Mus musculus: one gene and its partner. The protein of the gene in region 2 purifies or fractionates together with the protein of the main gene of each other region. This does not show direct contact. Links are inferred from orthologs where the notes say so. Each region holds a gene or a part of one and is shown on either strand. Other genes may lie near its edges.

Region 1 (4,470 bases), on a different chromosome or scaffold from region 2:
TTGTCCAAAAAAATAAAAAAAAAAACCCAAGAATGTCAGGATGGGCCTATATCTGCTACAAAATTAAGAACATCTAAGATAGGGCTACATACCCAGCCCCTTACTTGCCTTTTTTTAAAAAACAAGTCACATACACTGAAGATGTAATCAGTCCTATTCATTTATAAGACAGAGTAGGCCCTGCTGACCTGAAACTCACAAAGCATACAGGTTGGCCATAATCCTATGTTCACTCTCTAAGAAATGGTAAAATTTCCCTTTTTAACCTCAAGACCCAGAAACTAATCTATACCAGAGGAAAAACAGGATTAATGGTCCATTTATTAAAGAGTACTCCAAGACAAGGTGGTGGTGGTTGTGGTGGTGGGCGGTCATTTCCTCCATGCTTTGCTAACTGCTAAATGTCTGAAAATGATAAATTCTAGCATTAGCCCTTTTAGAGGAAGACTTTATTATTCATTTTTACATTTTTGGTATTGTTTTAAAACTGAAACACTGGGGGGGAAGTATGGGGGACTTTCAGAATAGCATTTGAAATGTAAATGAAGAAAATACCTAATAAAAATTTGAAAAAAAAAAAACAAAACTGAAACACTGAAAGGAAAGGAAGAAAGCAGAGACTGAGCAAGTGTGGCTCACGCCTTTAATCCCGGCACTCTCGAGAACAAGCGGCTCGCGGATCTCTGAGTTCAAGACTAGCATGGTCTACAGAATGAGGGCTACACAGAGAAACCATGTCTGGAAGGAAAAAAAAATATTCTGAACCATATCTAGGTAGATGCCGTGAGTCCACTATCACTTTAGAGCTCAGTACTGAAGTTGCACTGTTAGTGTAAATAAGCAGCTAATGGTTGTATAATATGTTTGTCCTTTTTAAAGTGCCAGTGACTATGGAAATCTCTATTCATTAGAAACATCACTAAAACCTGTCAAGCGCCAGGCGGTGGTGGTACACGCCTTTAGTCCCAGCACTTGGGAGGCAGAGGCAGGTGGATTTCTGAGTTCGAGGCCAGCCTGGTCTACAAAGTGAGTTCCAGGACAGCCAGAGCTATACTTAGAAACCCTGTCTCGAAAAACCCAAAAAAAAAAAAAAAAAACAACAACAACAAAAAAAAAAACCTGTCAAGCATGATAGCACCAACAGGTAGATCTCTTCATGTGAGGCCAGCCTGAGACATAAAACAGAAAACTAAATTGAAATCATCAGTCCGTCCGTCCCCCCCCCCCCACCCCCCGAGACAGGGTTTCTCTGTGTAGCCCTGGCTGTCCTGGAACTCACTTTGTAGACCAGGCTGGCCTCAAACTCAGAAATCCGCCTGCCTCTGCCTCCCGAGTGCTGGGATCAAAGACGTGCACCACCACCACCCGGCATCATCAGTCTTTTGTAAAAAGTATGAAACTATCTTCTTTTCTTTCTTTTCTTCGTTTTTGAGACAGGGTCTGATTATGCTTTGGCTGTCAAGTAACTCACTACATGGACCAGGAGGCTGGCCTCAAACAGATATCCATCTTCCTGCTAGGATTAAAGGCAATGACCACTAACGCCAGGCTGGAATTTTCTTATCACAATGAGGTACCTCTACCTCAAAGACTATAAATAAATCAACAGACACAGATAATAAATGGAAATTATACATTTGTCTAGATACTCTGAGAAGTGTGGGTATTATCAACACCAACAAAATTGCAGAGAAAATACAAAAATATATGGAATCAAAACAATGAATAACAACTCAAGATATGGTGGAGTCTTCTGTCCCCAACACCCTAAATACCTCCTAAATGAATCAGCTTTTTCACCCCACACCAGACATCCTCAAATGAACAGCAGAAATAGGAGCTTAGAGTATCTTGAATGTTAGGGGAGAAAAATGTTCTTCGGAGAAGAGATTCAGATAAAAGAATTGGGAACATGAATGGTGGTGACAAGTACATGATGACACAAAACAAACAAACAAAAAACCAAATGTGTCTATTTTTATTAAGGTTTTCATTATTTCATCAATGACAATTATCCCTCAAACATACAGGCCTTGGCCCCACTGTTTCCATAGAAGCAACACGTTTTGACTTTTGACATGTAACTCTCAAAAACTTTCATAGAGATAGAAATACAAATACAGTGTCCCTGGAAATGGGTGCTAGTGGTTAAGTCTATTTTTCTTGGATGCTTTTCATTGCAAGTACTTTACCTAAGTCATCTCATTCAAAATTTCAATATTCTTCTCTTAAAAGTTTTCAAAGACTAAAGGCACGTTCTCCAAAGTCTCAAGTGAAGGGAGGAACGTACCAAAAACTACAAGAAAAATGATTAACTCAAGGGCCACAAGAAAACATATGTTTTCCCTAAGGTAATATACAGAATGAATGCCTTAGTTATAGGAGTCATTTTAAGTTAAAATACTCGCCCCCACAAATGCAAGAGTAAGCTTTATTGGGGGGGGGAGGGGGGAATCCTGTCTTTCTAGTGACTCCTGGCTTGCTCTAAGAATTTAACCAGCCAACTCCCGCGCTCCCCACAGGAGTCCAGCCTCTGCCTCTTGGGGAAGGCCGGCCAATCGCGCGCTTGGGGCTCATTGGCTCGGAGAGACGCAACTCAGGCGAGAAAAACCCGCCTCCCACATTCCGATGGCCCAAGGACCGATCGGTAGGCAGCTATAGGAAAACCCAATTGGCCTATAGGCTCGCCAGTCAAATGCTTCGGCAAGGCAGCTTCACAGAACCTGCAAGGATAAAACATCCCGCCCCAGTTGTCCTATTGGCTGGCCCGACCCGTCGCGGCCCCTTCACTGTCGTCGTCCACCCCCCCCCCCACCAGTTCAGCGGTCCATTCATTTCGTACAATAACCGGTGCAATGGGAGCGGGTTCAAGATCTCGTACGGGTAGACGAGACTCTGCCACTTACCCAAGATCTAAAGTGATCACTCACGCTAAGGCCTGCACGGTTCCTCTGTGGTAAAGCGGCACCACAAGCCACCGCTACCGCCGCCTTCTGCGCAATGCCAACCGCCCGCCAAAACGGATCCTTCCCTGCGCCTGCGCAACCAATCCTGGGCTTGGACCTTTTCTCCGCCCAAAACGCCTGCGCAAAACTGGACGCTGGTCCCGCCACTACGCAGGCGCCTAGGTTCACAACCCTCTCCCGCCCGCCATTTCACGTGTTCCAGGCAGCAGGCGGAACATCGTAGTGCGCCGGCGTGAACTCGCCATTTTTATTACACATGCGCCTTATAGGGAGTGGCTGGGAAAAGTCGCGGTGAGCTACTTTGTAGCGTGCGGTCCTTTGACGAGTGAGTTTGTAATGTTCGGGTGTGGGAAAGTTATGAAAGGCATTTAAAAGACGTGAATACATTCAAATATAAGTGACTGGCTAGTTAGCCAATCAATGCGATTAAGGATAAGATCCCTTGGGGCATCAGTGACTCAAAGGGGCGGAGTCTGAATAGAACGCCCAAACGGATGCCGTTTCTTAGCAGGGCGTCTTCACGGGCCAATGGTGGGAGGGAATAATTTCAAATCTCCAATAAGACTCAAGTAAGGGCGGAGTCTACCAATACCGAGAGCGAGGAGGCGGGATAAAAGGGCGAGCAGAAGGTAGGCTGGCGGGCACGTTCGTTATCGTATTCCTTTCTGCTCTTTGACGCTGCCGAGGAAGCATCGCTGAAGGCTCTCGTAACTCTACCGTCATGTCTAAGTCCGAGGTAAGTTGGATGCGCTTTGCAGCTTCTCTTTCTTCCACACTTACTGAATATAGCGGGATGTGACGTGTTTTGCTGCTCGCACCCGTGGTTTCGGTGTTTTATCGATTAGTGCTGAGGCCTACTTTAAAAAAATGCAGGTCGCCATTTTGTCCTCATAGTCACCATGAGGCTGCGATCCGACCGCCATTAACGTCCATGCACTGTTCCTTGTGGCAAACTTCACAGACTAATGATCTGGGGAGTGTGGCCTTTTCTTCCCCTCCCCCATTCTGGTCTAACAATCGCTTGTTAAAGAGATATTAAGTCTTAATGGGGATGGACCCGACTAACCTGTGCCCTTTGTTGCGCGTGCGTATGAAGTAAAAGTAAGGACGCATGCGCTGCGTGCAACTCGAGTGAATCCCCAGCAGCACCTCCTAGCCTAGGAAGGAGCACGTGGTCTCGTGCAGTAATAAAGAACAATAAAAAAGTGTAGCATGTGTTGTTGCGGGGTGTTGATTCATTTTCCCAGGTTCCAGCCCCTCCGCTAAACACTCCCTCCTCCACTTTAGTCTCCCAAGGAGCCAGAACAGCTGCGGAAGCTCTTCATCGGAGGGCTGAGCTTCGAAACAACCGACGAGAGTCTGAGGAGCCATTTTGAGCAATGGGGAACACTAACAGACTGTGTGGTAAGATTAAAAGAAACAAAAGGAAGAGCTGGCTTATTTCTTCCGATTTAATCTGCTGCTTCTTAGCTAAATTGTTTTGTGAAGTTAACTAATGGGATGG
Region 2 (3,809 bases):
GGCTTGCTCTGTACTACCCATCTCCATTTTGTTCTCTTTGCTAAAATCAATCGATTCCACATCCACCTGTTCCTGATCGCTGCTTGACTCCTGGCCCTTCGTGTCCAACGTGTCTAAATCTGCTCTGATGTATTCACTGCTACTGAGCTCGGCATCCGAGTTCTCCTGGCTGTCCTTCTTGAGCTTCTTTGAAGAAGGAGATAAAGCCTCGTCTAACAGTTTCTTGGGGGTGGCCAGAAGCCCTTCCTGGGCCAGACTATCGCATTTTGCATTATCCACAGCTTCAAGTTGTATCTCCTCACTAAGCTCAGGGGCCTTCTGGGCGTCTGAGAACACAGCGGATTTGGGAAGTTCAGGTAGAAACACGTGCTTCCGGGACTCTGGGAAAAGTGCGCGTTTCCGTGGCTCGGGAGAAGCAGGAAGGACTGCTTTGGTGGGCTCAGGAAACAGTGTGGACTTCCTAGGCTCAGCATCGATAGACAAGACAGGCTTCCATATGTCTGACGCTACCTTCGGTGACTCAGATGAGCCCGAAGCAGTGTGCTTCCTCGTCTCAGAGAAGACGTTAGGTTTCTGAGACTCCATAATGAAGGAAGACTTCCAGAGATCAGGAGGACTACCACAAGAACTTTTCTGGGGCTCAGGGAAATCAAGTGAAGCAGGAGAAGTTTTCCGCTGGTCAGGAGAAACCTTCCAAAGGTCTGGTGAGCTTGAAGGCTTCTTGAGCTCTGGAGAACCTGCTGGACTTCGGATCTCTGGGGAAAGTGGTGGGCCTGGTCTGCGGAGCTCAGGAGACACGGGAGGCACTGCCTTCCAGTGCTCAGGAGACAAGGGAAGGGCTGTCTTCCGGAGTTCAGGTGGGCCAGACTTCCATGACTCTGGAGATGTGGGTGGTGTTTTCCAGGAACCAGATGAGACTGAAGACTTCCAGGATGCAGTGGACATAGATGGGGCAGGTTTCCAAGGCCCAGGTGATACAGAAGGTATTGGTTTCCAAGGTCCAGGAGACATAGGTTGAACAGGTTTAGATGACTTCCACGGTCCTGATGTTGCTGAAGGACTGGATTTCCAAGGCCTAGGAGAACCAGGCGGCCCTGGCTTCCAGGAACCTGGCGACACTGCTGGGGTTGGTCTCCGAGGCTCTGAAGCGATGGCAGGGAATGGCTTCCAAAGTTCAGGAGACTCTGCTGGGGATGGCTTCCTTGGCTCAGGGGAGGCAGTCCTCGCTGGCTTCCGAGACTCTGGAGATGCACTGAGGGATGGTCCCCAAGGTTCAGGGGAAGTGGCCAGTACTGGTGACTCTGGAGACAAAGCTGAAGGGGCAGCCCCTGTGTCTGCAAAGGAAGAGTGCTTTGGGGGTTTGGAGCTGACAAGAGCAGACTTGACTGACTCAGGAGAAGGGCCTCGCTCAGGCTTCTCCAGCTCAGGAAGCTCACAGGGTGGGTCTACACGCTCAGGGCAAGGAACAGGAGCAGCTTTTGAGGCCTCAGCAGGAAGACAAGGGGCTTGGGGCTCGGGCGAAATAAGAGGACCAGCGCCCTGAGGCTCCAGAACTGGAGGACCAGAAGCCTGTGACTCTGGACACAAGCTCGGGCTCGTTTTCTGTGCTTCCATGGGGAGGGCTGGAGTGGGCCTCGCCTCTGCTGGGTCAAAGGCTGGGTTCTGCCGCTCAGGAGGGGAAGGGCTTTTCCCAGACTCGGTGTCTTTGCTCGGCTGCTCTTTCGGCTGCTCACTCCACTTGTCCGAGGCTGCGTGTCTGGCCGTGATGTGATAGTACACATTGGCGTACAGCTTGCTGGTGAAGAAGCACTTATGGCAATGGAAGAGCTTTGCACTCTTCTGGTAAAAGATGAGCTTGCCCAGGCCCCCGGCATCCATATCATCACAGAACTCAGGATGAATGGAGCCCATGTGGAGCTGCACATTCTCATAATCGGTGCCTCTGAAACTGCAGTGCCCACACTCCAGGCTTAGCGCTGGTTTCCTCAATTCCTGACACACTTCCATCTTCTGTCACACGCCGTAGAACTGCACTTGAAAGACTTCAACAGTGCTGCAACAGAGAAAGAAGTTATTTCCAAAGGACTCTGTGCTGAACACAATACTGTACTTGCATAGTTGTGAGCCCGGAATGGCATATGCTTTACTAAAAATGTCTACAAGATTTCTGAGAAAAGGGAGACTAACTCTGGCTGAGCACAGCACTTGGAGTTTTATTTGGGGCCTCTCAGGTAACTCTAAGGCTGTCGCTCAAGCACACCCTCTTCATTCCTGCGGGAAGACATAGCCGTACCTTCCCAGACACTGACTGACTCGCTCTAGCCCAGGGCCAGGACTATCAGTTTCTCAAGAATCAACTCCCACTACTTACTGTAGCCTTACACTTAGGCCCTAAGATCTTCAATCAACAAGCTGTCCACACACAGAGCTGATGCATATCTAGGTGACTTAAATCTAGGAAGAAACTTTAGATCCTTTCCAGGAAATTATTAAGTCTAGCTATGGAAAGATTGCAACATGATCCTGGCCTTATTTTCTATCAACTTTTGGAATATTTTAACCACTCTTAGAATAAAAACAGAGAAGCTGTCAAAAGGGCCTTTCTGAGCCTACAGCTCTTCAGGGTGTCTCACAGACATCAGGCATGGAGGATACATTTTTAGCAAGTTTTTTTTTTTTTTTTTTTTTTCATTGTAACCAGTGTTACTGAGGAACTAACTGTTCTGGCCATATACAAGCACAGAGCATTTTACACATATGGCTCACATTCAACCTATGCCCACGTGCTATAGAGAGTAAGCATAAAACTCCCTTCTACTTTTTTATATGAGAGTATTTCTATAGAAAATAGTAAATTACTACTTGGCTCAAAGGCTGTTTGGATTTTAAAATATACCATGAGTACAGGTGAGAAAGATTCCCCCAACTCCTCAAAACTGAGTAAAACTCCTTGCTACACGGGAAGACTCTCACTCCTGCTGTTTAACGGTGTTTCCTTTTATCCTATGAGTTCGTTTATTTTTTTTGAAAGGCAGGCTTTTGATAGGTAGCACAGTTAACCTGCTCCTTACCATGCAGCCCAAGGTGCGTACAGCACCATACCCAGCTTTACTGTGTTGTTCTTTCATGAGAAAGACTGAACAATTTCCCTACTAGCCTTTTGTCTTTTTAAAAATTAGGTATTGGTTCATTTTCTATATCTACCTTTCTTAGTTGTAAACTTTAATATATAATTACAAAGAGAACAGTCCTTATCTAAAATATTTTCCAGCTTATTATTTATCTCATTAACTTTATAGTATCTAACCACAAATGGTTTTTATAAAACACACACTGGTTTACATACAAAATTTAAAACATAAGGCTTAGAATCTGGGTTTCTAAGTGATGCTTTTTTCCCCAACCATCTTCAGAGCCTCACTCCGAGTAAGCTTATCTTTGTAGTCGTCTACTAGTGAGTGTAAATGTTCACTCTTGGGAACACTGACACAGCAGGCACCAGATATAATTTTCAAAGCAGAAGTCAGGTCACTAACTAGCACCCCCTCTCTTTAAAGGGTTCCCTAAAGAAATAGGGCTGACAAAAGCCAACGTAACTTTGAATGGGTTAACCTGACATATGTCGGATGTCACTAACCTGGTGACTGACTGTGCCAGAAAGTCCACAGCCAGTGAATAAGGTCAGCAGTTATTCTTCGAGGACTCTAGCACACTAAGGCAACAAGCAATACCAGAGCGTGACTCTAGCCTCGGACTAAGTGATGCTTTTTGTGAGCCCAGGGTCTCATTATGTAGCAGTTTGGCCTGCT

The links.
Region 1: the proteins of Champ1 (region 2) and Cbx5 purify together in Homo sapiens (affinity purification with mass spectrometry; 6 studies listed by BioGRID and IntAct, with this or other methods). This does not show direct contact. The link is inferred for Mus musculus from reciprocal best matches to the Homo sapiens genes CHAMP1 and CBX5.

What each region holds. Positions count from the first base shown.
Region 1 is NC_000081.6:103,236,827-103,241,296, forward strand, and holds the start of Cbx5 (chromobox protein homolog 5), read right to left. Parts: upstream 3,027-4,470; 5' UTR 2,907-3,026; intron 1-2,906. Other genes in the region: Hnrnpa1 (heterogeneous nuclear ribonucleoprotein A1), read left to right, coding at 3,688-3,702, 4,254-4,370. UniProt on the Homo sapiens protein: Component of heterochromatin that recognizes and binds histone H3 tails methylated at 'Lys-9' (H3K9me), leading to epigenetic repression. In contrast, it is excluded from chromatin when 'Tyr-41' of histone H3 is phosphorylated (H3Y41ph).
Region 2 is NC_000074.6:13,876,042-13,879,850, reverse strand, and holds part of Champ1 (chromosome alignment-maintaining phosphoprotein 1), read right to left. Parts: intron 3,755-3,809; exon of another isoform or gene 3,625-3,754; intron 2,054-3,624; 5' UTR 2,008-2,053; coding exon 1-2,007. UniProt on the Homo sapiens protein: Required for proper alignment of chromosomes at metaphase and their accurate segregation during mitosis. Involved in the maintenance of spindle microtubules attachment to the kinetochore during sister chromatid biorientation.